Oreochromis niloticus: one gene and its partners. The protein of the gene in region 3 purifies or fractionates together with the protein of the main gene of each other region. This does not show direct contact. Links are inferred from orthologs where the notes say so. Each region holds a gene or a part of one and is shown on either strand. Other genes may lie near its edges.

Region 1 (7,498 bases), on a different chromosome or scaffold from region 3:
TATATCAGTATAAGAGAAGAGTGCTAAGTGTCAGTCGTTCATGTTGCAGATGTTACTCAAGATCAGTGCAGATTGTTCATGACACATAAAATGAAAGAAGCAAGCAGAATGATGCTAAAGCAACCGCAGATATTTAAACTGTGAGATACAATATTCAAGAATCAGGTACAACACACGGGTGCAGTACATACTGGGATATGTGGCTGGTGAAAACAAGTTATAGCACATTAAAAGTTGGAGCCAGCCTTTTCTGATCTTGGAAGCTAAGCAGGGTCAGGCCTGGTTAGCACTAGGATAACAAAGGATAACAGGGGTAAACTGTATGTGGGGGTTAGGGTTACCAGCTGTAAGTCAGACTATGATCCCGGTCAATTAGCAAACTGTTGACATGTTAGCAAACTGGCTGCTACGGCTGATAAAACAACAGCAGTAGTGAAAATAAACGTCACAGTTTAACACGAAGTTTGTCTACACACAAACGATTAGGAGAAAAAAGTCGTAACCATTACCACAAGAACGAGCTCTGGTGGAGTGAAAACATTTTTCTAGCAGTGCTTCTTACTGTCATAACCATTCAGACCTTTACAGGGAAAAGCTGGGTGCTCCATCAAACCACTGATCAGCAAACCTTTGAGCTTCTCCCATCCACCACTGTTTGGTTTACTCAATTCTACAGTAAAGATACAGGAGTTACATTACAATGTGACCTCTGACCTCTTCTTTAAGGTCAAATAAGATCAAACCTTCATAAAATGTCTTTTAACTTTAAAACTATGCTTTAAATTCCAGTGCCTCTGGTTGGATTGGTAACATTTATATGGGAATTCCAAATATCACATCCAACATTGCATCCAAACATTTGACCTGTGACCTCATGTCTACATTTCATTCTCAGAATTCTTTCTTTTATGTGTGTAAATACAATTGCGGGTTCACTTCCTTTAGTTTCTATTTAGTTAAACTATGAAGAACACTGACATTTCTAGCATGAAAACCAATTAGGAGTTTATTTTAAAGGACCTGTATTTTTTTTTTATTTACTACTGCTGATTATTAAAACAAAACTATGTCTTATCCGATTACTCGAAAAAGAAATGGAATACTTGTTTACTAAAATAATCATAAGCTGCCGCTCTCGTCCAAACCATCTCAGCCCGAGCTCTGTCCTGTCCATCCTGCTCACTCGCAGTGAAAACTTGAACAGCTCCATCTCCCATCTTTTTGATCTAAACACCATTTTGTAAATCCTCCCTTTTCCTGAGCTGCGATCCTTCCGTCACAAAACCACCCGGCTGCTAGTCTCTACCTCTGACCTCCCAACCCCAGGGATTAAAGTCATCTACCTTCACTACTTCTGCTAGTTGCCAGTTCAGTGTTACACTTGGGAACAATGCTTGTGTGACTGCACTGTGCCAAGTGTAAAGTTTGGTGGAGCGAGGATCACGGTGCGAGGTTGTTTTACAGGAGCTGGGCCCGGCCCCTTCAGTTAAAGGAACTCTTACCCTAACATTAGACATTCGGATGGACTCCCCCTTTGACCTCAAGCTGAACTCCAAATTTTGGAGCAGCAAATGTCTTTCTTTGAAGAGTGCTGTTAACAAATATCTTCAAATCAAAAGAAAGGACCAGTGACTGTACAGCTACACCTTCTATTCCAGGGGTGTCCAACTGTAGCTGTAGGCCTCGAGGGCCGGTGTCCTGCAGGTTTTAGATCTCACCCTGGGTCAGCACACCTGAATCAAATGATTAGTTCATTATCTCTGGAGAACTTCAAGACATGTTCAGGGGGTCACTTAGCAATTTAAATCAGCTGTGATGGATCAAGGACACATCTAAAACCTGCAGGACACCGGCCCTCGAGGCCTGGAGTTGGACACCCCTGTCCTAGTCTCTGTGATTAATGGCAATTCAAGCTCATTTAAAAGCTACAATTTCAAATATTTTACAAATACAAATTAATCTTCATCATTAAACTCAATCTTGTTTAGTCTTAAATTAAATGGCAATTATCAGAATTTAGTCTGTGTGTGTCAACAGAGAAACTAAAGCGATGATGCTATGTGGAAATGCCGAACCCCCTGTAAGGGTTGGGGCAGGCTCGTGGGACAAGGCGTGCCCAATTTGGATAAACAGTTGGGAAAATGAATGAATGGATGGATGGATGGATTTCCCAATTAAAATTTTACTATGCAAAAAGCCATAGAGTGAGTTTTCTTGTTTATCTGGTCAGTTAAAGTTTAGATTTACAGTTTAGTTTTTGTTCACTGCACTGTTACTCACTCTGAGGTACAAATGTCACATAAGCAGATTACTGTGCGCATGTGATCATTGACAGTACAACGCTGTGAATGCAAAACAACTGTTGTGTCATCCACTTCAGACTGGACCCACTCCAAGGACCCCACGTTCACATTCAAATGTCATACAGAGCTAACTTATCCTGCTGATAAGGCCAGGATGCAGTAAAGGCTACACCCACCTACACGTCACGCTGTCAGTGAATTGGCACTGATTATTGAAGTTAATTCAAAGCACACATGACTGAGTCCGAAGCCAATCTAAGCTTTACGAACGACGAGCTGAAAGTCTTTTTTTCTCAGCCGTTTAGTTTTGTGTGTCGTAAAATGACAACAGCAGGACTAAAACAGTTTGACAAAGATAAGCGGAGCATCCGGTTAATGTGCGCACACACACGTAAATGATTTACCTGAAGAACTTGGTTTACTTTCCGAGCCCCTGATTCCAATGAAACATTCTTTTGTTCGGTTCCTGCTGATCTGTCGTGTCTCCTCGGCACGCACCGACCCTCCTGAAGTTACGAAACGCGCTGCTGCAGCCGCTCCATCTTGGACGTCACCGTGGGCTTTTTATTCTTTCACCGGGAAAAAGAGTTTGTTCGAGGCCAAGGAGTCTTTTTCCATGTTGAGAGTAAAGAAAGAAGCGGTACATGAGAAGTAGCAGGAAGCACCCCCTTCCTCCCCCCCCCACACACACCGCCTGGCCTCAGTATGAGAGGAATGTCCATCCTCCCTCCCCCTCCTTAATGGAAACTGGATGAAAAAGTTTTTGGAACAGGGAAATCCCTCCTTCTCTCTCCTGCTCTCCAGACTGGGCTCTAACAAAGGTCTAACCAGCAGGAAAAAGTTAAAAGCTCAACTCTGCGCCCGAAGTGTGTCATGAAACACGATCAAGTGTTAGTTTATTATTATTTGAAATGGCTGTTTAGGATGGCGACTTGGTGTTTTAACGAGCACAGTTTAAAGATAAAAGTTTAAATGTGCTCACTGGGACACTCCCGGCACAATCAGAGGCTCAAGTGAAAAAGCTGAAAAAGGGGAAGAAGTGACAAAGAGGGCTTTGTCCGTCCCAGCGGAGCTCTGCTACATTTAAGTGCTGTCGGAATTTCGTGAGAAGGTGCACATATGTTGGTTTTGCTTCACGTCATTTAGCCCAAATCCACATACAGTCATTTAGCACCATCTGTTTCAAGCCCTGCCTCGACCCTGTGACGATAATAATGCGTTACTATCAATCATTAAACAAGTGCTGTATACAGAGAGAGGCCCAGGATCCCTGTTGCTGTGAGCTAACAGTGCTAACCACTGCTCCACAGTTCTATGGTGGGCTTCAGGGCTGCTTCTTCATCATGTGATTTTCATTTTTTTTACATTACTTCTTTTCACTTACTGGCATTTTAGCTTTGCCATCTGCCATTCAGCTTCTTGGTCATTTCTGTGAAGTCAGTTTACGGCTGCAGGATTTCTGACCAGAGTGGGCTCTGTGACATCTGCACTGTATCTTTATATAGGTCAGTACATGTAGGCCATCTTCACCAGAAGGTGGCGCTGCTTTATTCAACTCTATTACATTTGAATTAGCTATTAGCGCCCAGTGCAGATCTTTTCTTGGACCCATATCACTGTGTTGTAATGGGACAAACGCAACATCACACATTCTCTCCCCGTGTCTTGGCTAACACACACACATGTTCACCAACCGCAGTCAACATCAGGAGGAATGAACATATTTAGTCAAGTTGATGCTATAAGCTAGGCTACCACAGATTTAGCCATGCTAGTGGGATTAAAGAGAAGCTGGTTAAGCAGGGGTCCTCACAGGCTGACCGGATCACACTCATTTAACAGTTATTTCCAATGAACCAGCTTCTGTATATCATACACATATTATATTGAATATTTTCGTACTTATCTTATGAGGACCACTTTTTTGGTTTACTAAACATTTTAAAATGCCCCATACCATGTTATGGAAATTTGACATAAATGAATCTGCACAAACAGGTTGTCACTCTGAGGTTTTAATTTGTCTTTGCAAAGGGGTCAGACAACAACAGTGCATCAGCAGACTGCATGGCTTTGACAGAGAACAACAACAATCATTCACAGAAACAAGTTACAGTGCATCCAGAAAGGATTCACAGCGTTTCCTCATATTTTCATGTTACAGCTTAATTCAAACATTAAATTCATTTCTCACTTCAAATTCTACACACAAAATGACAAGTTAAAAAAAGACTTTGATGTTCTTGCAAATTTCTTAAAAATAAAGAACAAAAACATTACATGCACTCACAGCCTTTGTCGTGACATTCAAAACTGAGCTAAGGTGCTTCCTGTTTCCACTGTTCATCTGTCAGATGTGTCTACAACTTGATTGGAGTCCACCTGTGGTAAATTCAGTTTACTGGACATGATCTGGAAAGTACACACCTGTCTCTGTAAGGTCCAAACTATGGACAGGTGTCAGAGCACCAACCGAGCCATTAAATCCAAGGAACTGTATGTAGACCTCAGTGACAGGATTGTATTGAGGCACAGGTCTGGAGAAGGGTACGAAAAGATTCTGCAGCACTGAAGTACAATGAGTACAGTGGACTCCATCATGCATAGATGGGAGATATTTGGAGCCACCAGGACTCTACCTAGAGCTGGAGGTGTCCAAGAACCTGATGGTCACTCGGACAGAGCTCCAGTGTTGCTCTGTGGACAGAGAACCTTCCAGAAGTCCAACCATTTCTGCAGCACTCCACCAATCAGGCCTGTATGGTAGAATGGTCAGACTGAGGCCACTCCTCAGTGGAAGGTGACAGCTCACCTGGAGTTTCCCAGAAAGCACCTAAAGGATTCTCAGACCACGAGAAACACAATTCTCTGGTCTGATGAAACAAAGGTTGAACTCTTTGGCCTGAATGCCAAGCATCATGGCACCACTCATTGCCTGCCAATAAAATCGTTACAGTGAAGCACGGTGGTGGAAGCATCATGCTGTGGGGATGTTTTTCAGCAGAGGGAACTGAGAAACTGATAGAGTAGTCAGGGTCGAGGGAAAGATGAATGCAGTTATGTGTCCAGAGCTCTATGGATCGCAGACTGGAACAAAGGTTCATCTTCTAACAGGACAACGTTCCTAACCACACAGCCAAGATAACAAATGAGTGTGTTGATGCATGCTCAATCATCTAGGTAAGCAAAAAGTTGATTCTGTTCATCTGGATGTTTTCAGTGGGAGAAACATTTCATCACTCACCCAGGTGACTTCTTCAGGCTCAGCTGACCGCAGGTTTCCCCAACCTTATAAACAGTAGAGTTGGATGTCTCGAGACCGGTCTTGGTCTCGAGTCATTTTTTCAGAAGCATGGGGTCTTTTGGAGTGTAATTTATTAGTTAGATGCCTGACTGACAACTGTATAAAACAAAAACAACACACGAAGCACAGAGCGCACCGTCGTAAATTCCCCCTAATTTTGGTATGATCCGAGCTCAGGCACTAGGCGACTGAGCACAGCACCCATGTGAGCGAGGGGGGAGAAGCTGCTGCCTGCAAGTTTGCTGCAGACAGAGGAGAGCTTAAGTTTGACCAGGTACCAAAACAAATCATTCGTACTGTACAAATAATGTAAATATGACGGTGTATCACAAAAGATTGATATCAAACCGATATTACTGCGTTATTTGCTCTTTGAGTGAATCAACAAATGGATAAATAAAATGCCGAACGACAGTGCTGATTTTTTAGAAAGTCTTAGCTTACATTTCATATTTTCAGTTCTTACCCTCCACGGCTAAACAAACTCTCTAAATCGGTTTCAATTGTGTACTGATGAACACAAGAATGGACATAAGGAGCTTCTTTTAAAGAAAAAACTCAGGTAGATGTTATTTTATATATTATGCTTTGTATGTTGTTTAGTATATCTATGCAAGACAAGAGGAATTTCAATACACAGCAGTATATTCACAGATGAAACCAGATATTTACACTTTAGGGAGAAAACATAAACTTTTTTTGTTACTGTTAAACATCAATTTAGAGTAAACTTGTTTTGTTTTAGATAAATAAATGTTGAAATATCTTTTGAATTAGTTAAATGTCAGAATAAAAAGAGGGAGCTGTCTATTTTAATCACTTTCATCAAATTTAGGAGTATATACACTAAGTTTATTGTTAATTAATAAGGAAACTCCAGACAATTCCATTCTGAGCTTAAGAAGCTTCTGATTGGTTAGTAGAGTCCATGTGAGTAAATTGGTGGCACACCTGTGGATGCATATAAGGCAAAACACAGAGCCTGTTTCTTTGACATGGGAAAATCAAGACATGTCAACCAAAACACCAGGAAAAGAACTGTGGAGCTCCATAAGTGTGGCTCAGTTTTGAATACAAAATACAAAAGTTAACAAATATGTTTTTTATATTTATCAATCTAAAAAAAATAATCATTTAGTCTGATTTGATGTTACAATTAAAGTGTTTGTGTTTTTATCTGCAGAGTGTGTAAATATCTGGTTTCCACTGTATATTTGATGATGTTGGTGTTTGGCTTGATTGTCAGCACAAAGAGGGAGAGAGAGGAGCAGAGAGGGAGAGAGAGAGGAACAGAGAGGGAGAGAGAGAGAGAGAGAGAGGAACAGAGAGGGAGAGAGAGAGGAACAGAGAGGGAGAGAGAGAGAGAGAGAGGAACAGAGAGGGAGAGAGAGAGGAACAGAGAGGGAGAGAGAGAGAGAGAGAGGAACAGAGAGGGAGAGAGAGAGAGAGAGAGAGGAACAGAGAGAGAGAGAGAGAGGAACAGAGAGGGAGAGAGAGAGAGAGGGGAACAGAGAGGGAGAGAGAGGAACAGAGAGGGAGAGAGAGAGGAACAGAGAGGGAGAGAGAGAGAGAGAGAGGAACAGAGAGGGAGAGAGAGAGGAACAGAGAGGGAGAGAGAGAGAGAGAGAGGAACAGAGAGGGAGAGAGAGAGGAACAGAGAGGGAGAGAGAGAGGAACAGAGAGGGAGAGAGAGAGAGAGAGAAAAAAGAGAGAGGAACAGAGAGGGAGAGAGAGAGGAACAGAGAGGGAGAGAGAGAGAGAGAGAGAGGAACAGAGAGAGAGAGAGAGGAACAGAGAGGAGAGAGAGAGAGAGGGAACAGAGAGGGAGAGAGAGGAACAGAGAGGGAGAGAGAGAGGAACAGAGAGGGAGAGAGAGAGAGAGAGGAACAGA
Region 2 (6,840 bases), on a different chromosome or scaffold from region 3:
ACCAAATATTACATATAACTTATGTGTATTAAAAATGTATTTCTTGTATAAAAGGAGACATTCAGAACAGCTTTGGTTGAACCATATTGCTAAGTGATCTAGTGAGGCACTGGCTGTTTCCACCCAGCCTGTTTAGCCTCCTTAGAAAGGCACTCGGCCTCACTAACCAGCTGTTTCTTGGTTTGCTCCTTCAGCAGTGCGGCTGACTCCTCCAGAGATAGGAGCTGGGCTGGATTGTGATGGAGAGGGGGGAGTTTGGCAGCAGTGATGTCATCCAGGTGTTTTCTGTCCCGCTCCCTCCTGGCTTGCGCAGACAGTGGCGATGAGCCTTCGGAGGACTGACTGGGTGACGAGGATCCTGATGGAGAGACGTCACTTCTATGAGGCAGCCTGGAAACACATTAAGGTGCATATTATTTACACTCAGCTAACTTACACAGAGGACAAAAAGGCAGAACTATGTCAAACGTCTTACTGAATAAAATCTGGATTATTGGAGCATTTTTGTTGGAAATGTTCAGGAAGTAGTAAATAAAGTCCACTCACTGATTTGGTTTAAATTTTTGCTTCCTGGGAGCTGCAGACTTCTCTGTTTTTTCCAGGACAGTTATATAGTGAGGCTTCTTTGGTGGTTGCTTTCTGAGAAAGTAATTGTCTCTTGCACTGCTGTTTAATGGCTCTTTGGATTCGCTGCTGCCACCAGTAGTAGTTCCAGACACCGTGACCCTTTCCAGGGCCTCCACAAGGTCACCCTCTTTTGTTTCATCAGAGTTCACAGAGGCCCCACGAGCTGCCGTTTCCATGGTTTCCACAGCAGTCGCTCCGGAGACAAACGACTCTCGTTGCTCGTCCAAAGTGTGGTTTTGTTGCACTTGCGCTGAGGCAGGTGAGGTCTCGCTCTCCTGTGCAGCAGCCTCATTTTGCCTGTTTTGATGTGAGGCTGCTGGTGTGATGGAGGCAGCACGCCGGTGAGCAAAAGCCTGCTGGTACTTGGACTGTAACTCTGTCCTCGCAACAGACACTAGGCTTCGTCTCCTCTCCTCCTCACTGTGATCATCAATGGCAAGACGCACTTTATCTGCAAAGTCTTTTATCTTTTTCCCTTTGTCAGGTAGAGTCTGCAATAACCTCCTGCAAACAACACAAACGTATCATTGCAAAAATATTCTACAAACAATATTTCGATACACAACCAGAGCCACACTAAATGTCAGACACATACACGTCTGTAACCCCTCCCTGACCCCAAATAAGAAAAAGTCTTACATGCCATGTTTTCCTCTTAATTGTTGATAATGGCAGTCAAAGCTGATACTAATGCAGTGATGATGATCTAAAGCCAGATTTACCAGCATGTTGCACCAGCACAACTGGGTTTTGGCATTTAAAAAAAGTATTTAAAAAAGAGTTTCTTTGTCAAGGTGTGAAATATAGGGAGTAGAAAATTTAAATAAAGCATAAAATCTGATTTACCAACGCCAGCAACATGTGTTTTACTACAAACTACATATTTAGATCTGAAAAAAAAAATTTTTTTTGCACCTTATTCTGAAATGACTGCACCCGTGTTTAGAAAACAGCCCCACATTTTTATTTTAGTTAAATAAAATGTTTCGGTTTTTTTACATCTAGTTTTAGTTAACTATAACACAAACTTGCTGTGGGGCCATTTGAGTACAGTGAGCTTACTGTCATGTTCAAGAAACCACTTTGAAATGATTTGAGCTCCATGACATGATGTATTATTCTACAAGAAACAGCCATCAGAAGATGGGTCATAAAAGTATGGAAATGGTCACCGACAATACCCTGGTAGGCTACAGAGTTTAAATGATGCTCAACTGGTGCTAAGGTGCCTAAAGTGTGTCATGAAAATGTCCCTAACATTATCATCATTATTGTTTCCACAACTAGCTCCCTTAACTGTTCATACAAAGCAGGATGCATCCAGGCTTTCATGTTTAAGCCAATGTCTGATCGCAGCAGAAACTGAAATTTTACAGACAAGACAGCATGTTTCCAGTCTTTTATTAATAAGCCTGTACTAAGTAAAGTCTCAATTTTCTGTTCTTAGTTAATAAGAGTGTCACCCAGTGTGGTCTTCTGCTGTTGTAGCCTGTCTGCTTGAAGGTTGGACATTTGCGCCTTCAGAGATGTTCTTCTGCATACCTTGGTTGTCAGGAGTAGTTATTTTCCTTCCTATCAGCTCAAAATACACTGGCCATTCTTCTCTGGCAACAATAAGACATTTTCACCCAGTGAACTGTCGCTTACTGGATATTTTATCTTTTTTGGATCATTATCTGTAAACCGAACTTCAGCAGGTGCTGTTGACCATGTCTACAGGCCAAAATGCACCGTGTTGCTGTCACGTGATACCTTGACAACGAGTTTTACAGGTGTACCTAACAAAGTGACCGAGAGTGGTGTGTGTTTGTTTTGTTTTTTACCCCGTGTTACAGCAGAGTAGTGTCGCCTGTGCATCGTTTTTTACAAAAGCATTTCATATTTTCACCTGAGCCAAAGTGGACTGATATAAACACGTTGTCAGTAGATCCTCTGTCTTAGTTTCAGTGCATATTCCTGAACACAGAGAAGTCACTTTATCAAACCGGATCAAAGCTAACGGGATGGCCGTGCGCATAAGTGTCACGTTTCTCTCATACAACCTAAGGATTAAACTTACTTGTTACTGAGTATCCTTTCTTGTCGGAGTAGCAGTTCCTGTAGTTCTTCTTTACTCAGGTGTCCCAGGTCTCCCACCTCTCCCTGGCGCTCTGTCCACGACGAGGACATCACTGTTAGCTAAAGTAAGCTAGCTACAGCCATCCACAACAGCACGAGCCCGCTTTAAACTTCACCGTAAACACGAAGGTTTACGGTAAATCTACCGGTTGATTGATTCCTTTATTATTAGAGAGCTTCAGAAAACTCCTTAAGTGACTAATTCACTTCTTCAACACATGACACAACATTTCAAAGTGGGACCCTTCTTCTTCTTCCTGTGTGAAAAAAATAGCCCTCTATCGCCCCCACTGAACGGGACACGGTAACACACCTCTTCCCTGTAAAGACTGTGAGGCTTATTTGCTGCCCTCTGCCGGTCAAACGTGGTAACCAGCCTGGATGCAAGAGCTTTCTCTCTTAGCAGTGCGATTAGTACAGAGTCTGGACTGGGCTGGTGTCTCAGATTTTCCACAGCTGCATTTCCTGTCCGGATGTTTTCCGATCCACTTCTCACTCAGCTCAACTGACAATGAATGACCCAAACACAGCTGTGTCCTCTCCAGCCTGTGTCAAAGTTCAAAGTCAGTTTTGGTTGCAGCTGTACAGTTGGAACAAAGTCTCTGACTTTACCTTTAGAGTTCAGACTCTAAGTCAAAGTTTAAAGTTTCCCATTTTTCCAGAATGTATTATTCCAAGACCTATTTCTCAAGTATCCCAGATACTGTCAAAAAGAGAAATGCTTCTTTTTTCACGCTTATCCTTATTAATCAGTTGTAATCAAAGTAAGCATTAAGTTTTATTATTTTAGTCCTGCCCTAATCCTCCAAAATGTTTAATTTCTTCTTCATCCCTCAGCTTCTCTCTGTCACCAAAGTCTTGCTGTCCTCATGCAGTTTCACACATATGGATGCACGGACATCTCAGCTGAAAATCAAAGATTTTTTTTTACTTCTTTCAGCCCTTCATAGCACTAACCTGTAAATTATTCTTTTGTTGTAGCTCTTGTTATATCAGCTCCACATTCCTGATCATGACTGGTGTGGGCAAATATCATGGCTCATTTTGATTACTCAATGCACAGCTCATTATGCAGTGAATAACTTGCAGCAACTACAAATTGATAATTTAAAGATATGTGCACATGCAATCATAAAAAGCCCTAGAATTACACTGTAGACACACATTCATGCCATTCATGCATGTTTATATAAAAGTGTGTGACTAAATAAAAGAAATACAAACCGATTTTAAAAGACTCTTTCTTGTAAGTGCAGCCATCTTGTGACACATTCAGGATCATTTGCACAGTCTTTATTATCCAAACAGATGCTGGCCTCTCATCGTTAATCGCAGTATTATATGTATCAACGAGGAAAAGGCACATCATAAAACTATTTCAAACACAGCTGTGGCAGTACAGATGACACCTGGATAACACTTGTGCCAGTGGCTCAGGAACGGCAGTCACCTTATTAAAGTTAATATCGTTAATAACAGATTTCTCAAGAATTTGCCACGTCCTATTTTGCCATATTACCCTGCTTCCAATTAAAATAGCTTTCCTTCCACCACCAGGACCACAGAGTAGGTTGTCACAAAGGCACAAACCATAATAATAAATATTATATTATCAACAGTAACAAAATATCATATGTTTAATTTGTACAGAGCACATATAAAATGATAGGAAAATACACACAATAACCATATCGACCTTCATATAGGACTGAATGCTCATAGCTCAGTGAGCAACATGAATAGAACAGATTCACTGTAAACGGAAGAAATATATTCCATATTATATCAGTTAGAAAAATATTTTTTACATAGCATCACATCATTTACATCCTACAGCAAGCTACTTTTGTTATTATTAGAGCTATGTGCAAACATGGGACAGAAACCCACATAAGACTTTTTTGCTTCACTGGCCAAAAATCATTATCTCCGACATAAATAAGTGAGATATTACTGACATGGATGTGCCAGCTTTAAAATTATGTAAAACAGATTCTTGTGTTAGTACATTTTTAAAGGGATATTTGTGAAAATTAGACCAAAGACAATCGAAGTTTAAGGGGAAAATTCCACACTTTGGTCTAGTTAAGATTAACGGCTCTGATTGCATAAGTAACCCTCTTATATTCACTACATGGACATAAATATTGGGCCATTCTTATTAATACTTGAATTCAGGTGTATAAAGTCAAATACCTGGCCAGGCAGTCTGCATGTACAAAGAATTGGTTGTTCCAAAGAGCACACTTTAATGCTACTGTTGCATGGGTTTACATGGCAGAGCAGCTCCTGTAGGTGTGCTGTGTGTTGTGTCTGTTATCCCAGTGTTCCTGTTGTCCCTGCATTATCATAATAATGTTGGTCCAGGATCAACATTGCAACTGACCAATCACTTTGTGTTTTATTAAATATTTTCTTTATAAAGTTATGCAATGTAATAAATACATTATCAAGTTAGGTTGGCTGTTAGCTAACTGGCATTAACAAGCATTAGCTAGGCATTAGCCAAATTCTAAGCTAATGCTCGGCTAACTAAATGCTCCTTTGTCATTGGTCAGGTGTAATGTTGATGCTGGATCACCATTATTATGATGATATAGGGACATCATCAACACGGGGATATCAAAACGTGAGTAATGTGCAGCTAGGTTGGTAGTTCTGTCCACGTAGTTTATTTACATACTATTATTTCTTGCATAGTGAGTCAGTGGTATTCTTGAAGCACACTAGCTGATGTTTTAATGGCTTACCTGACTTTACGTCACTGCGTTTTCACTTTTAATCCTAAAGTTAATGTTACTCTATGTTATACCAACACAGAGTAATGTTATCATATTACATTATCAAAATTTGTTTTTAAGACTGTTATTTTTTACAATTTGCTGTCAAAAATTTTATGGTAGTATAGTATGCAAACGTTAAGGTCAAGTAAGAGAATAATAAAAGATGTTACTACTGCACTACTCCAACCAGTTTTTTAATACGCTTGTCTCTTTCTCAGCACACATAGACTGAGTTAGAGGATACTATTATTTAGCTTTAGCTACATATTTACTGTTGATATACAGATTAGCTCTGTACTTAGCACTGATACAAAAAAATAGAGGAAAGAGAAAATAAAATCCATCTGTCAACAAGTTTAAAGAAAAGTAATTAAACTGTTAACTCGTGTTGTCATCCACATGGAAACGAAGCCACCATCTGACAGGGAATCTGGATCAAACTAGTTCGTAACTGGGGACAATGACTTCCATGAGTTTCTATTCATTTCCAGGTTTTTTTCCTCTCCCAGTTTGATAAAATGTTGTTTTTACTCTAATTTCCCGTTTTCAGGCTGTTTTTATTGCTTATAAAAAGAAGTTTGTGCGTTACTTGTTTACCCTGTTTTCAGTAATTATACTAAGCTAAATGGCTTCATAGTTTCATTGACTCTCCTTGATTAAGTCTGGGCTCATGTATTTTCCAGGACTGCTCCTTTAACTTTACTCTATGTTTATCTTTGCTGTCATTTCCATTAGTTTCATGAACGGTGTATAAACTCGCACTCCTGATCGTGGTCGAGAAGAAGGTGGGGATGAAGTGGACTCCTCTGGTATGGAGCATGTGCCTCTGCTTGTTTGTGCGTCCAGCTCGTCTCCTCCAGGCTGGACCGGACTGACACCAGCTTCAGACTCAGATGGGTGGATGTAGGAGAATGTCCCACGCTCCTGTGTGGGGTTGGAATCCAGGAAGCGGCTGTACTGGACAGGAGTGTACCTTAGTAAACTTGACTCTAGCCTGCTGGGGGGAGGGTTATTAAGCTTAAACGTCCTTGGCTGAGTGGGCAGTGTTAGGGAGAGCGATGGATGTTGAATGGGAGGTGATGATGAGGGTTGTGCCAGGGATGAGGGCGCTATGGAGGAAGGGTTTGGTCTAAGTGATAGAGGATGAGTGGGTGATAAAGGCTGTGTGGGTGACAGTAGTTCAGTGGGTGATGGGAGTTTCACAGGTGATAGAGGATGATCAGGTGATGGGGGTTGGATGGGATAGAGATGAGTTGGTTCACACTGAACAGGCTCAACATCAAACCTCTGTGCTTCATGTCTGCAGAAGCAC
Region 3 (7,688 bases):
GGGCTATGACCTCGGGAGTTTAGAAAACGGGGTCTTGACTCTTTATCGTGTTCCTCAAAGAGGAACCAAAGAGACATCAGTGCATTTGATTCACCTCTCAGTGATTTTAATGTCCTGTCTATAAATGCGTAAAATCTTCAGCTGGTGTTTCATGGAGTAGGGAGTCATGGAAATCAATGACGATTATCTTCAAGAACCAAGTTGAATTTCATGATTCTTGAATCCTTTGTTTCCTTCTAGTGGATTGAACCCATCTTCCAGAGATCAGAAATCTCATTCTCTGTAAGTGAAACATGATCCTTCTAAAGTGTGCTCATTAAAACAAGGGCAGCTCCCACCCCTGCTGAGTCCACCCTTCTTTCTCGTTGTATACATTTATCCAGAGCATGGCCATCACTACGAGGGTGGAGCATCTCGTGGGACTGGTGGTTAGTGACTTTTTTTGTCCTTGGTCCATGATTCTTAGAGATAAGAGTTTGTATGTGTGACATATTGGCATTGCTAACACATACTTTCTTGTCAGGCACCGACCCACTTCCTCTGGCTCCTCTTCTTCTTTTTGACTCATTCCTACCTGAACTTCTGCGCAGAACTGCTGCGCTTTGGTGATCGCCATTTTTATGGAGACTGGTGGTCAGTTGTACAGAACATTTACTGTAATTTGTGTTAATTTTGCATCTCAGGATCAATGCAGTTTATATTTTATCTACAGGAACGCTACAACTTTGATTGCTTTCTGGAAGAACTGGAATATTCCCTTTCAGAGGTGGTGTCACAGGTATTATCAACATTTTTTGGTCTGTGTGCTTGAATGTTTGACATGGGGTTTTTTTGCTTACATGTTTTTCTTTTTATGCATAAAAAGACACATCTACACTCGTCTGGTGGAGAGGAATGTTTCCCCATCACATGCTGAGTTGCTGGTTTTCCTGATGTCTGCTGCCCTTTGTGAGGTACAGTCCATTCTTCTGACATCTTTGGAAAGGGGCTTTTAATGCTTCCTTAGCTCCTTTGGCACAGGATACATTGCACCATTGCTTATGGCAGCATCTGATTCTTACCTTACTGGTCTACAGTATCATATTTAAGGTGTTAGAGGACCATCATTGCAACCATAGAGCGTAGGGCTTGAACGTCAGGGCCTTGGCTTTATTGAATTTAGTCCCACAAATCTAGTATTTAATAAACGGGGAATCTAGCATAAGTTACAGCAATTTAATAACGTTCAGACTAAGTTTGTGCAGAACTGGCCAGAGACACTGTAAAGGGGAATCAACATCCAGTGGCTACCCCTGCTGGTCATTAACCAGAATGCAGGTTTAAGGGACTTCAGCATTTCTTCCCATTTCCGACCCAGAAGTTACCTCTGAATGATCTCATATACTCCATGATTGCAGGTGACCTTTCAAGGACCAAACATTGACCTTTAGCCCCAGAAACTTTGGTTTGTGTCCCATGTGAAGCTAAAAGTAAATGTGGAACTATTTTAGACTTGCTGAACTCATGTTTTCAGATTTAAAAATATCTGTTTTCACACTTCGGTTAAGTTTTCGCTGTAAAACTATTTCTGGCCTTTAGGATTCTTATGAACTGACTTTACATCAGTGACAGATGCTGAAAGACTTTTATAAAAGGGTGACATTTCTTAGGATTAATATCAATGTTATTTTGTTCTCATTCTGATTGTGCAATATTACTTAACAGTATGTAATTGAATGTTTGTTTCATTCCCCCATCATACGCTGCTACTCTCTTTTTATTCATTGCACAATACTATGTCACTTTTTTTATAATCACCTGCACTGATTGTTATGTTATTTATTTTACTGAAATAGTTATATTGCCATTTTGTTAGAGTTATGTGATATTATATTTGCACTATTCTATTGTATACTACTGTAAATTACTGCATCCTACCATTCTTATTGTATATTATTGTATATCTTTATTCCTCTGTTCCTCTGGTTCTCTTGCTGCATTTAGCATGTGTATGCTCAAGTTCTTCTTATCTTATCTTAACTGAAAATGGATTATCTTCTATACACGAGAAAATGAGCGGACTGTAGGGTTGTGACTGGTGAATGTAAACATTCCAACATTGGTAATTAAGTGAGATTTATGACCATGTTTATAACCTACAAGCTGCACGAAACACACAGAGCAGTCAGTCTGAGATGAGTTTTTGTAGTCCATCAGTGGGACATTGTAGTTTCACCACAGCTGACCCACGTCAGTGACATCCACCGTCACTTTATTAGGTAGTTTGGTTTCTGGAGTGTAGTCAGACTTCACATTTTTTCTTGACTTCATGATTTTTTTCTCCCACTGGGGAAAAGGAAAAGAGATTTGAGATTAGGATTGAACTGCAGCCCACTTCTATGCAATAGAATTAAGCTGGCACCTCTGGATAAACTTACAGCACTAATGAGCTGTGATGGTTCTCTTCTTTCTCCTACACAGTATATGATTGCTCTGCCCCTGCATAGCTGCCGTCTGTGGATCTTCCTCATGATGGTGTTTGAGGTGAGATTATTCCACCAGTGGCAGCAGCAGCTGCTGTGTGGGGATCCAACTTAATCATTCATGGATACATTCTATACCCTTTTATTTAACACTCTATAAACAAATGCAAAAAGGCTTTAAATGGAGACATAGATTACACGGTGAAATCTTAATCCTATTAATTAAACCTGATCCACTTTATTGTTTTTGGCCTTCCACACCTAACACAATGCACTGTGTTGCTATAATCGGGGCATGTCTTGAGCTGACACCATGCCTTCTCTTTGCAGCTCTTGGTTGCGGTATTCCTCCAGAACTATTTCCAGGGAAACTATGGCAACGGTTTAGTGTGGCTGTTCCTGCTGCTGGGCCCTCCTCTAGCTGTGACCACTTACTTTCACGACCACTACGTCAGCCTCCACATTAACCGTCAGCATCGCCCGTCACAGTCGCCACTGACATCAGAGCGGAGAGTTTTCCTGCAGCTTCACTGACTGAGTGAAGGCAGTCTAGCAGATATTCCTACACTTTTGCATTTATGACTGGACTGAGAATTCATCTGTGAGGCAACGCTGCACATGCCTGACGTTCCACTTTAGCAATACATATTATTCTGTGTACACCAAACCTGAGTTATGCTACTATGCATACACATCATGCTGATAATATTGGAATAAATGACTATTTAAGGTTTCTTTATTTAAATTTGTTCATTCATGCTTTCTGAATGTGGACAGCAAAGTGAGGTGGTGACTCAGCTGCAATCAGTTTGTAAAGGTCTTCCTGATGTGACCATTCCTGCTGTAATCAAGGTTGCTGCTAGGACACCGCCACATCAACGTGTGGTTAAGAGGCCTTCATTTATATAAGTTTACCGAATCACAAGAACCACAGACTGCCTTTTCTTATGTGAGTGTGCACAGAATCCAAAGCAGAAAGCGAAGTTCAACAGAAAGTTTATAACTTCCATCATGATACTTGTTATCTCTGACTGAGGTTTTAGGTTTTGTCGAGGCAGCTAACACAAAGATAGACTGGCGCTGTTGAATTTTGTTTGTAGTATACCCCTCTGATTGTTACTTGTTCAGGCTATCATTTTCAAATAAAGCCATCTGAGTTGCTTAGCCTCATCTCATCTCCTTGTCCTAGATCCTAGATGCATATATCAACATTCCCATCAGGTTCCTCTTCTCGGGAGGTTCTGTTGTGGATTAACATTTGCCATCTGAAAGGAATACAGCCTGTTCAACACTAAAATTACCTGCTCACTTGCCGCCTGCTGCTGAAGGACACAGTTACAAATTCCCACTTGCGCAGATACTCACTGCTCCCGTTAGCTGGTTCCCCAGACCTTTCAAATGCACTTACCATCTGTCATGGATGCAAGTGAAAGCAGGTGGACTCAAAGTGCAAACTTAAACAGTACAGGTTTAAACAGTTTGTTAATCAATCAGGATATTTACAGTTGAAGGAGGAGAGTGGGAGTTGGGGTAATGTACAGAAAATAAAATTTTCAAACTTATAACTTTTCATGCAGTTTCAAGATATTATTTTCAATTTTGGGAGACGGTAGATGCCAAAAACAGCTCAAGCTGATTTAATTGTGGTAAAAAAATTGGGTCAAGGTCAAGGTCCCACCAAATGTAAAAATCACTAAAAGCTTTATATTACCCACAATTTGTTAAGGATCGTCTTCAAACTTCATAACAACATACTAGGATGTGGGGGACATGAGTAAGAAGGTTGGCTAAGCATTTGACCTCGAACAAACTTCATATTTTTTCAGTAAGATTAGGGTTTTGTGTCTCCTCCTGGGATCAAACCAGGGATCATTCAGAGCTTAGATAAAGATGTAAACTACATAGAGATACACAAATTTATTAAAAAGTAGGGGTATGCTTTCCTCATGCCATATTTTAATAATTTTTCATGGTTTGTAAGAAAGCAAGAGGCCATAATATATGTATGTATATATATATATATATATATATATATATATATATATATATATATATATATATATATATTCAGCCTGATTCAGCCATGTTCGTTGTATATGAGGCTTTGTACGAAAAATGAAACTTATTGATAAATTCACATTTGTTTGTTTGTTTTTCACTGATTGAAGGTGATTTAAGGTAATTGTGTGGGCTGTTTATTATTGTTTTCGACCCACAATCCTTTGTGCAATGAGAACGCCATACCCTAGGTCACGTGATACTGTCACTGAGGCGGAAATGAAAGTTCACTAGCGATAGCGGCGGAGCACAGCTGAAAAAGGTACGTCCAGGATCACACCTAAGCCTAAACTATATCGTGTCAATACGTGTACCGTGGCCTGAGGAGAACCGTGAGGCTGTGGGCGAGGCTTTAGTTGCTGTCAGGTGATTAGAACGGGTTTTATCCGCATGTCCTTTTATAAAATCCCACCAAGAAGCTCGCTGGCTAGCTATTAGCTTCTTTTAGGTAAACTGGCTGAATTTAGTTGCGTCAAAGCGGAAGTGTGCTGGCTTTCTTTTCGAAATAAATGCGACTAGAGTTCGGCTGAAATATTCAGATTCTTAAAGATCAGTGTATAAATTGTGAGTCTCTAATACTTTTTTGTTTTTCAATAGAAGAAGATCACCTTCGCCAGTTTCATCTTGCTGATAAAAGGATTAATTTGCTGTTTTTTTTCTCCGCACTCTCAACGCAAACAAATTCAAACAAAACGAAACAGGAAATTTTATTTTGAAAACATGACCAGAAGCGTTAGCGTTTTGGTCGTCTGTCGTTGACGGTGATGCATACAAAGCTTGATCACCTTCCGCGTTTGTATTGTGTGCGCAGCAGCCAAAGGTATTTTATACGGCAGCGATAAAAGAGTTTGTCAGGGTCGTTTAAACCTCTCTCGGTTCTTGAGAAGTTCAGACAGCTCACAGCGGCCAAGAAACGCTGCGCAGCCTCCAGCTTCTTTCACAAGGTTGACGGAGGATGCTGTGCGCTTTTTGTTTTGGTAGCTCTCGTCTGTTTATCTGCAGCCTTGAGACAGACCTCAGGTGGATATTCTGGCAATCCAACACCCGGTTAGTCACTCTGACTCAGACCGGGTCACCTCTGGCTGGTTTTTGTCTTGGTTTCGGTTGCAGTGCCTGCAGCATGTCACCTTCAAAATGAGGGTCCCCTCCGCAGAGCAGTGTTAGAATCGGGGTTTTATGTTTAATTTAATTTTAATTCCTTGATGCATAGAGTACAGATCAGTATCAGCACACCTTCAGAGCAGAGTCCAGACTTGCTCTGGATTGTCTTTGCAGTGCTTTAAATTCAGCAGGGTGCTCTGACTTTGCTCAAGGTGATGTTGTTGGGGTTTGATGAAAGTCATGGCTTTTACTTAATATTACAGGGAGAACAACTTCAGGCTTTTAATGTAAATTCATTAGGACAGGCTACTCAGTACACCTTTAATCAGCGTTATATACTTTGTACTCCAGTGTTGTGATAAGTAGTTAGTGTCTTACAGATCACACTCAGAGAGTGTATAAAATAGTTCAGACAAGCTCCAACTTGGGGTAGGTAATCTCGCCTATAAATAATATAGTGATTCACCCTTTAATTTCCTGAGTGTTGTTAAAGCCCTTGCAATCTGCATGTACATGAAAACAATCCGGTTTAGTTACAATAGTGAAACAAGGTTTGTAATCACACCAGGGGAAGTGAACATTACTACAGCATCCATGAATTGTGCAAAAATGTGCCTGTAAAAGCTGTTCATTCATGTTGATGATGTGAGAGGACTCCTTAGTGTAGCCTGGGTCTGTGGATCTTCCCTCCTGATGTCTGAGTTCATATGTACTGTATTTAAATACAGCTGAATTCCCAGTGAATGTGCTGTGATTTAGTGTTTCTGGCAGTGTGATCAGAGAGGAGAACAAGTATGTGCACACGTGTTAACCAGCAAGAATCTACCTGTCTCACTCTATATTATTTTTGCATGCATGGGCCTTTTGTATAGTTTTAAAGTGTCTCATGGCTTCTGCCAGAATATAGCAGAATATAGTGTCCTACTGATTTCTGTTTGTGGCATGGAGGGGAATCTGTGTGTGTGTGTGTGTGTGTGTGTGTGCGTGTGCGTGTGCTTGCAAAAAGCAGTTTCCCTAATTCTAATTTTTTCAGTACCTTGTCAAAAATAAATAACAGAGGGATCAAATAGGCTGCCTCAATTGAGATCCACCTCCACTATCTTGGACTGGAGCTGGAGACGGCAGGCCCTGTTTGCTCTGTACGCTTGGTGAGCTATAGGGTGTAGCTTGTGGTTAAAGTGGCTCTTCAGCAGATCTTTACAGCAGTAGAACTACCTTTGCCAGGTGGAGTCCAGGAGAGAGCAGCAGACCATCCAGCTGTAGCGAGAGATCCTTTTTGTGGGAACAGCTGAATGGCAGTGAAGTCTGAGCCAGTTAGTGGGGGAAGCATCATATTAGAAAATGCTGAAACAAGTCGGTGTGTATACTTGGGTGGTCATTAAAATATCTGAGCTGACTGCTGAGTTAAGTATCTGTAATGTCTGTTTTTGAGTGTTTTAATGTGACCATAAAAATAAAATAAAGTCACATAACTAAAGCAACAAAATAAGCTTTTTGCTGTGTTAAGAGAAGGTGGATATTTGGCTGTAGGGAGTCATTGAGTCCCACTTATGACTTGGATCTAACGCCACAGTTTTTAAAGTAAACATCGGGCTCATTGGCCTTAATGTTTGCACAGCTGCTTTGAAACAAACTCCATTTGGATGTTTTCTTCCAGATGTTTTGGCATAAATTGTCGTGTCTTGAGGAAAAACACCCGTTACTATCATCACCTGGTACCTGTTGCTGTGGGTGGAAGAACTCCACCTGTATTCTGCTGCTTCCTGTTTATCATGTGTCTCTCTCTGCTGCTGGTGAAAGTGGTGATACGACCTCTCCAGTCATTTAAAAGACTCAGAGTTCCCTTCTGTTAGTGGAAATTTTGTAACTGTGGAGTTATAAGTGATGCGTGATTGCATGTCATGATGTTTTGCCCCGTTGAATTAGGTTAGCCCAGCAAGCTTTCTCTCTAATGCTGCAAAAGGTGTTTAGGCAACGTCACTTATCAGTCCCCTGGAGTGAGTGTTTAAGGACTGGAGGTGCAGTGTGGTGGGAGTTTTATGCTTTTCTGTCTGAAGGAGGGGTTAT
Region 4 (7,719 bases), on a different chromosome or scaffold from region 3:
AGAGCAATCGAAGGGTCCCATATATTTGCACTGGTCATTTTGCACGTCATTGGTGACGTCACCACAGTTCTGTATCTTTTATACCAGCTCTTAGGGCACGAATATACACTACAGTAGTGTCCTGAACAACAGGTGCTCCCACTCAGAGAAAACCTCAACACCAGCGATGATATAAGAGAAGTGAAAACCAAGAAGTGAAGAAATTGCAAGCTTTCTTTTTAAAGATTTTCCTCAGAAAGACAAACTTGCAACATTTCTCTGTATATGCTTCTGTACTCATAGATCATTTAAATGGTGGTAAAAATCACCACAATGGTCAACTCGTGTTTTCAACCTGCAAACAAACTCGAGAGGCACATCACCCGCCTGAAACGACACCATGCACCAGTGGATTTAATGATGAGCATATGAGGATATGATGAGCCATGCAAAAAACAAAGAAAAAAAAACCCCCAAACACAAATGTAGTATACTGCGTGCTGTCTTTTCAACAACTTAAATTGAACTCAACATACAAAAGTATGATGTTGAAGACTCAGCTTACAAAAAGTACAATTATTGATGAGATTATGATCTGTGTGATTGACACAATCTTGAATTTAATTTTAAATGATCACAATCACCAGTGAACAGTTACAGTGATACCTTTAGTTGGGTGAATTGGTATGCTGTTCTGCTGACTTGTGTTGATCTAATAGGGAGTACAACATGCTTGCCTCTAATGTTTGAGCCAGATACATTCACCAAGTTTACAGTTAGCAAGAGCAGACTGATTTGATGTCACTGCAAAGCTTGAGGCAGTTTGGGTTTGACATTCAGCTTCATTACATGTCAGATTTATCAACTGAAAATATTGACTAAGCATGTGCCGATATCAGATTTTTGCTTTAGGATTGTAAAGGTTTAAAAAAAAATTAAAAACCCAGCATGTCATGATTTTCACTTCATGATTATTGTACTGAAAAAAAAAAATCCTGATTAACAAAATGATTGCTTTATATGTAAAAAGTTGGAAGGAAAAAAAAGGCGGCAAACTTTAGTTGCCTTGTGACGCTTGAAGCTATGCAAGTTTTCATTTGAAACTCATTTTGACTCTGCGTCAGTAGGACTGCATTCCACAATTCTGATAATCTGCTTAAAATGATGTTTTTGAAAGGTGAATCTACCATTTGAAACCTTTTCCATGAAGTAATGGTGGTTTTCGAACAGTGGTAAAACACCTCGACAAACAGGGGAAACACCCTTTGTGATAAGTAATGATATCACGCAAGTTGAAAAGCCAGAGGTGACTAACAAATCTAAATAGCTTCTTTAAGAAGCACAGTCACAGTGAAATCTGTTGGTTTACCACACCGATAGACTTCTGAAAAACTAAGATCTTGGCCGTCCCAACCGACTTTTGAACTTCCACCAGCGCTGGGTCAGCATACAAGGCAGGGAAGTGAATGAGCGGCCGACGACTGGCTCAGAATCAAGGACAAAGCATAACTGCACCCCCGCGCATGCACAGGGGATTACATAAGATCTTAACAACATAGCCACAAGCCTCCTCATGTGTCCAAATACACCCGAACCTCACAGCAGCAGTGCCCCATACCTGTAGTATTATTTAGAAAGGAAACAGAGCAAGAGATGACAGTGTAGGCATACTGTGATGAACACTGGGTTTTTTATTAGTATATTTTTTTGTTTGTTTTCACAAACCACAATATCAGATAACTCATCTGTTTGGCTATATCCAAGCCATCCTTGAGAATCCACTGTATTGTGCTAGAGTTTCCAAAAAAAAAACCAAAAAGAAAAACGGAACTTGGTGTGAATCGCTGCTTTGTTCAGGGCTGAAAAGTTTAAAAGGACATTGCTGATTTGCCTTGGCTCATACCGAATCCTGTGGGATTATCAGCCATAATACCAGAACAACAAGGCACAAAGCATACTTTATCTCCCAAGGTTCATAGCTGACTCCAAAGTTTTACCAACACTGCTGTTACAATACATTAACAGAAGGAACAAACTCCACATGCTTAGGCCAGTTCAACCAAATAAGCCATACTCTGAGGCTGGCATCCATTAATGTCTTTGACTAACAGTAGTAGCATTAGTTTTTCCCTGCATTACTATATCATTTTATGATTCTGCGAAGACATAATATAAGTCATATTTCTAAAAAATTAGTTCGTTAACACTTATTTGTCACCGTCATTCTTTTCTCTTGATTCGTACCAGCCCTTTAAGCTGCGGTTTAAGCCGGAAATTCATCTTTAAAAAAATACAACCAGAGGGGAAAAAAAGAGGCCCTCTTACCACATTTAATATGAGCCAGCTAATAAACCCCTATGCTAACCACTTAACTTACAGCTAAGCTTCTCAGAATTTATGCTGCCAAAAACTGTGTAACTACACCTCTGTTTGAATGTCCACATGTAACTACAAGTTAGAGAGTGTATTTTATGTGTGTAACGCTGTTAAAAGCATTTTCACTTAAACGGCCTTCGCGACTAGTCTTGGCTGGCCAGCGTTAGCTGGCCACGGAAGTGGCTAATCAAAGGCTGGGTACCATAGCAAAACTAATTTAGGGGAAAAACGAAGTAAAACACAACAGTTGTGAAAGTTTGCTTTTTTTGCGGCTTTTTGTCTGTCCCACATAACGCATTTTAAATAGTCAATACAAACAATAAGCATTAATTTTTTTGGCAAGGGCCTGGTGCCTGTGACGGGTGGCAGGCCGAGCTATCAAACGGTGTTTTGATCAGCTTCCACTCACCACTTGGTATCGGCTCGCTGGGTCCATCTTCGACAAGGTTCAGCTGGCTAAACGAGCCAGCCGGTGAGAACTATCAAAAAAATAAGACTTGGGTTTACTCCGATGTGTGAGTCACGGACAAGAGATGTTGGTTCCAGAAACAACGCTGAAGAACCGGATTCTGAGCGATGAAAGAAATGGCTACAACCTACAATGCATTCACAGAAAAATACCGTTCTGTGTAAAAACCTTCACCCACTTTCAAGCTAGTCTAAAGATGTCACACTTCCGGTTACAAATTTCAAAATAAAATGTATATAATCGGTATTGCGCATTAATGTTATTATTACGTTGTTGTTGTCGTTGTTGTATTCATCAATGCATATATGATCTTCTACTTATCTAATTTACCTTACGTTTACACCTAAGCTTTAGAGTTATTATCATTATTATTATTATTATTATTACTGTTATCATTATTGATAACAACCATATATTAGCATTATATTTTCATTCTAAGTATAAAAAAAGGTAAAATTAATATAATATTAATATCTAATACACTCTGTTTCTATCCGAAACCAATTCTATCCGAATTGTTAGGTAGTTAATCTGTTGGAAATTCCTGTGAATGTGATGTGTTACTGTCTTTTAACGTTATTCAGTTCATAACGTTTTAAGATGGCTGTTCTATTTTTACTTTTCTGTACCATTTCAGACCACCGTCAGCGCTCGCTAGACGCTTTATTTTGAAGGCGACTTCCTCTTGTTCCAATTGTCGTTCGACCAATTGAGTCCTTCCTCGGTGGGTTGATCTCAGATTTCCAAGGATTGAGAAAGGGTGATGACGCAAATACAAAAATAAATAAATAAATTTGACGAGAGAAACCACTAGGTGGAGCCAAAGTCCTCTTATATCTCTGAACCACAACGGCCCATTTCCATCCATAAAAAAGAATCTCACATGCCTCTGTTTATCAGAGAAGTATGGATTGCATTTTACAAAAACACAAGTCTCTGGCAGTGCTTTACATTTTACATTTTTCTGAAGTTAATGATTGAAGTTGTCAGCAGAACAGGGTCAAGGGGAAGATTTTGGCAGTAAGCCTATCGGCTTGGGTGAGATTCCCAACTCATTGCCATAACTCACGTTGCAGTGCAGTGAAAACCTGGCCTTCGGTAGTGAGACGAATGCCTTGGAAGCGCTGAATATGTGGAAATGAGGATTCCAGGCTTGACAAAACAATCGCAGCTCAAGGCCTACGTTCTCACACTATCAGCCACCAACACCATCCTGTTGCATGACTAAAAACAAGGTGAACATAAAATAAGATCGTTATTCATTTTCACCAAAAACCCTGGAAACTTCATTGCTGCAGCTTAAGAAGTGAGATCCCTCCTTGTTTAACACAAATAAGCAGGTCCTGAGCTATCAAGCACCCCTATCAATAATATAGATATCATCTCTGGTATTGGTATTGCATTGATACTGGAGCGATAGGAGCGATACTTTGTTTCAATCTTCTACGTTTAACACACTGAATTGTGTTAAATAAATTATTGTTATTGGTGAGTCATTTCATCAATCATGACACACTGGTCTCCCCTACATAGACTACATAAATATCGGTATTGGTATTGGCATTACTGACTCTGTACTTACTTGGTATTGGATTGATACCAAAATTTGCAGTACTGCAAAACACTATCAAACACACACAGAGAGCAACCTCAGATAGATTTCACCCTCTTTGCTCCAGGATGGGAGTGCATTTAGACAGCTCACTGTCTAAAAGAAACATTCCACTATCCCCACCATCAAAAATCATGTTAAAATATATGTGTGTGGATATGATCAGAGGGGAGGCGGGGTAAACTCTTTACCTCCATTCTCAAGTTTACTCCGTCATGTGGTCTCGCCTCCCCGGCTAATCCTGGATCAGCATTGGATTGGATCAGTGCATAACAGGCTCTGGTTGATACCTCTATCAATGCAAGTGCTGGAGTTTCAAGGATAAAGCACAAACAGCTTCAGATACTGTTGCAGGGTGAATTAAAAGCAGTAGCTTGGTCTCTTGTCGAAGCCTAACAGACCAGAAGGAATCATTAAAACAGAGCACTGAGGAAATGCTCTTTTGATGCATTGATAATAGATTTTTTTCCCCTCTCCAAACTGCTATACGTGCATTTTCCCTCCACACGTATCATTTTTTAACCAAAGTGACTGGCTCTGCTGCACTGAACTCCACATCACTACATCTGCTCTGATCTGTTGCATTAATACATCATTGCTGGATTTGCCAAAAAAAAAAGCAAAAACAAGGTTAAACAGAGCGAACAAAGAAGGCACGGGGAGGTATTGATAAAAGGCTCTTCTTGAATTAAATATTAATCCCATTCACTAAGAAGAGGGATTACTGTAGTACATGTATCAGTTAAGCGGCTCATGCTGAGAGAGAAAGGGGATGGAGGGAGTGGGAGAGGTTGGAGAAACTTGTGAAAAAGGAAAAAAAAAAAAAAGGGGGGGGGGGTCGGGGTAGAAGCATCATAGAGGTTTGGGCCCCATGCAAGGCGATTAGCAGCATTAAGGATTGAACTTGCAGCAGTGATGGATGAGTTCCTGTCTGCACCTTTACTGCAGCAGCAGACCTGCATGAGAGCGAAAAACACTGGAATTCATTCGCCCAGCACGCTGTTAGAACCCCACTTTTAGAGTCAATAACAGCCCTTCAGGACATCCATCACTGACACACACCCACACCTACCCACACACCACCATCCCCACCGCCACTGCACAGTTGGGATGTTGTTACTTGGCAACATCATTTCAAGGTAAATAGGTGCTATAAAAAGGTGTTATATAAAGAAACAGTGGGCGTCTCTGTCAGATACTGCAGCTTTTCAGCGTGGCAGACTCATTCTCATGCCTGTGAAAGCTTTGCTGTTTCACTGGAGGTGAGCGCTTTGTTAGACGCTGATGGAATCGTGCATTACAGGGGGAAGACATCTGTTTAGTTTCACGAGGATACAAGCGGCAATTTAATTGCCAAGCTGCCGTGCATTTGGGGCTGAATTTGCATTTTATGTGTGGAGAAGTGGCAATAGAGGAAGGTTTTAATATACTTCCAAATACGATGTATGCACTGTGAGAAGAATTGTTCATAATTCTTGAGCATATTTCATGTGAGGAACGGAATGAAAGTTATTTACAGGGTTGTGGGGTGTGTTTGTGTGGGAGGGAATCTAAAAGACGACTCAAACAACAATTTAAAATTGTGTTATCTAAACTTGCCAAGTAGGAGAGAAGATACATTCCTGTAGGTGTAAAACCACTGTTAAAGCCACAGCTAAAACTCCCGAGGTGCATTTAAGCAAGGACTCTCCATTAAACTTCTGTGCTTTAAAATGTGCAGTAGGTTATTAATAAAATAGACATGACAATGAACACAAAGAGATTCAGACAATTTAGTGGGCTACTTACTAACCTCAGAGGATAGAAACAAAGTATCAGTCCTATCGTGCTACTATCATTCCGATACCAATACCAACGTTGGTATTGATGCCATTTGGATCGATCTGCCCACCTTTAGGGCCCACCCAATCATAAATCTTCAATTTAACCAACAAACAAGAGAGAGTGATGTATTTCCTTGAAAATGTGGTTTAAAAAAATATGAACAACACAGACTGTTGCCTGTAACTTGCTAAGGCCAAATTATAAGCCTTAATTTGTTAAGACCGATGTGTGACCCACTTGCACTTGTACATAAAGTTCAAAACAAGAGGAGTAAATTTGGGTCACAGTAATGAGTAATATCACAAACTAACCACCTCTTATTACTGGACTGAATTCATTTTTATAGAAATAAATACATTTATATATGTAACTGCAGATACTTAATAATTTGCAGATACTTAAAGTAATTTCAAAGTGAATTTCTGTTAATACTGTAGCTCTTCTAGTATTGTGTGCAGTACCTTTGCACCACTCCACACTTTAGCAATTCACTGCTCTGACATGTGGAGCTAACTTTGGTAAAAGTACTGAGAATAATGACAATACAGTTCTGGTTTTGATATAGAGCTTTTTTACCTGAATACTCAGAGAGCTGTATACAACTTCCCTCATTCACCCAAGCACTATTTTCTGCACCTAAGTTCCATCTGTCTAATATTCACACTCTGATGCTTATTAGGAGCAACTTGGGATTCAGTATCTTGGTATCCAGACTGGCCCAGGCAGGGGTTGAACCACCAACCTTCGGATTAGTGGATGATCGGCTCTAGAAGGTGAGCCCAGGCTGGTATTTGACTTACTTTAAAGGTATTGTAGGTAATGGTGTTTTGAAATTTCACCACCTGGGGGCAATGTTTGACCAGAAATTTCTAGTATTTTTTGCCCATCCTGGTTGTAAGACACAAAAGGCAGTGTTTGGTGTGAGAGTAGGGGGATGGCGGTGCAGGGGTTAGTGCTCTTGGCTCAGTGTTGCTTCACTGACTGAAAGTACTGAATTTCAACCTCCTAGTGGGCTGGCATCTGAGTTTGTAGAGAATTTTGACTGTAAGAAGCAGAAGAAAATGGTTCAATCTAAGAACTATGAAAAAAAAAAACCAGTTACGGTCACCCTGTTTTTTTCTTTTAGTGGCCTTAATTTTCTTTCACATGCTTCCTGCAGAGGCATGTATTGTAAGTTAATTGAGGATAACAGGGAAGGACTGGCGACCTGTCCTGCATGTACCCCACCTAAGCTCGATGACAGCTGAGAAGCCATTGCTCCGACCTGGCATTTGCATGAACTCACCAGTCTAAAAGAAACATTGTGCATTTCTTTGGTGCTGATTGTGGCAATGACCAACATTGTTTATTATTGTTTCCTTACTTCAGACAGAAGCATGCAGTTCTCCCAGGTACAGATTGAGATTTATGGGCATGAATAGTAATTAACAATAATTCACACGCTTCCTGCTGTTGTGCC

What was found.
Region 1: the proteins of wwp2 (region 3) and amot purify together in Homo sapiens (affinity purification with mass spectrometry; 3 studies listed by BioGRID and IntAct, counting the BioPlex papers as one, with this or other methods). This does not show direct contact. The link is inferred for Oreochromis niloticus from reciprocal best matches to the Homo sapiens genes WWP2 and AMOT.
Region 2: the proteins of wwp2 (region 3) and polr2m purify together in Homo sapiens (affinity purification with mass spectrometry, with the first as the bait; 3 studies listed by BioGRID). This does not show direct contact. The link is inferred for Oreochromis niloticus from reciprocal best matches to the Homo sapiens genes WWP2 and POLR2M.
Region 4: the proteins of wwp2 (region 3) and ndfip2 purify together in Homo sapiens (affinity purification with western blotting; 3 studies listed by BioGRID and IntAct, with this or other methods). This does not show direct contact. The link is inferred for Oreochromis niloticus from reciprocal best matches to the Homo sapiens genes WWP2 and NDFIP2.

The regions. Positions count from the first base shown.
Region 1 is NC_031975.2:392,285-399,782, forward strand, and holds the start of amot (angiomotin), read right to left. Parts: upstream 3,023-7,498; 5' UTR 2,708-3,022; intron 671-2,707; 5' UTR 609-670; coding exon 581-608; intron 1-580.
Region 2 is NC_031965.2:22,183,080-22,189,919, forward strand, and holds the start of polr2m (protein GRINL1A), read right to left. Parts: upstream 3,021-6,840; 5' UTR 2,797-3,020; coding exon 2,687-2,796; intron 1,132-2,686; coding exon 547-1,131; intron 391-546; coding exon 168-390; intron 1-167. Other genes in the region: myzap (myocardial zonula adherens protein), read right to left, coding at 6,228-6,828.
Region 3 is NC_031972.2:4,827,381-4,835,068, forward strand, and holds the start of wwp2 (NEDD4-like E3 ubiquitin-protein ligase WWP2), read left to right. Parts: upstream 1-4,674; 5' UTR 4,675-4,782; intron 4,783-4,862; exon of another isoform or gene 4,863-4,886; intron 4,887-7,580; exon of another isoform or gene 7,581-7,584; intron 7,585-7,688. Other genes in the region: diacylglycerol O-acyltransferase 1, read left to right, coding at 241-282, 384-428, 524-633, 713-778, 866-953, 2,461-2,523, 2,793-2,996. UniProt on the Homo sapiens protein: E3 ubiquitin-protein ligase which accepts ubiquitin from an E2 ubiquitin-conjugating enzyme in the form of a thioester and then directly transfers the ubiquitin to targeted substrates.
Region 4 is NC_031986.2:7,771,861-7,779,579, reverse strand, and holds the start of ndfip2 (NEDD4 family-interacting protein 2), read right to left. Parts: upstream 3,024-7,719; 5' UTR 2,792-3,023; coding exon 2,765-2,791; intron 1-2,764. UniProt on the Homo sapiens protein: Activates HECT domain-containing E3 ubiquitin-protein ligases, including ITCH, NEDD4, NEDD4L, SMURF2, WWP1 and WWP2, and consequently modulates the stability of their targets. As a result, may control many cellular processes.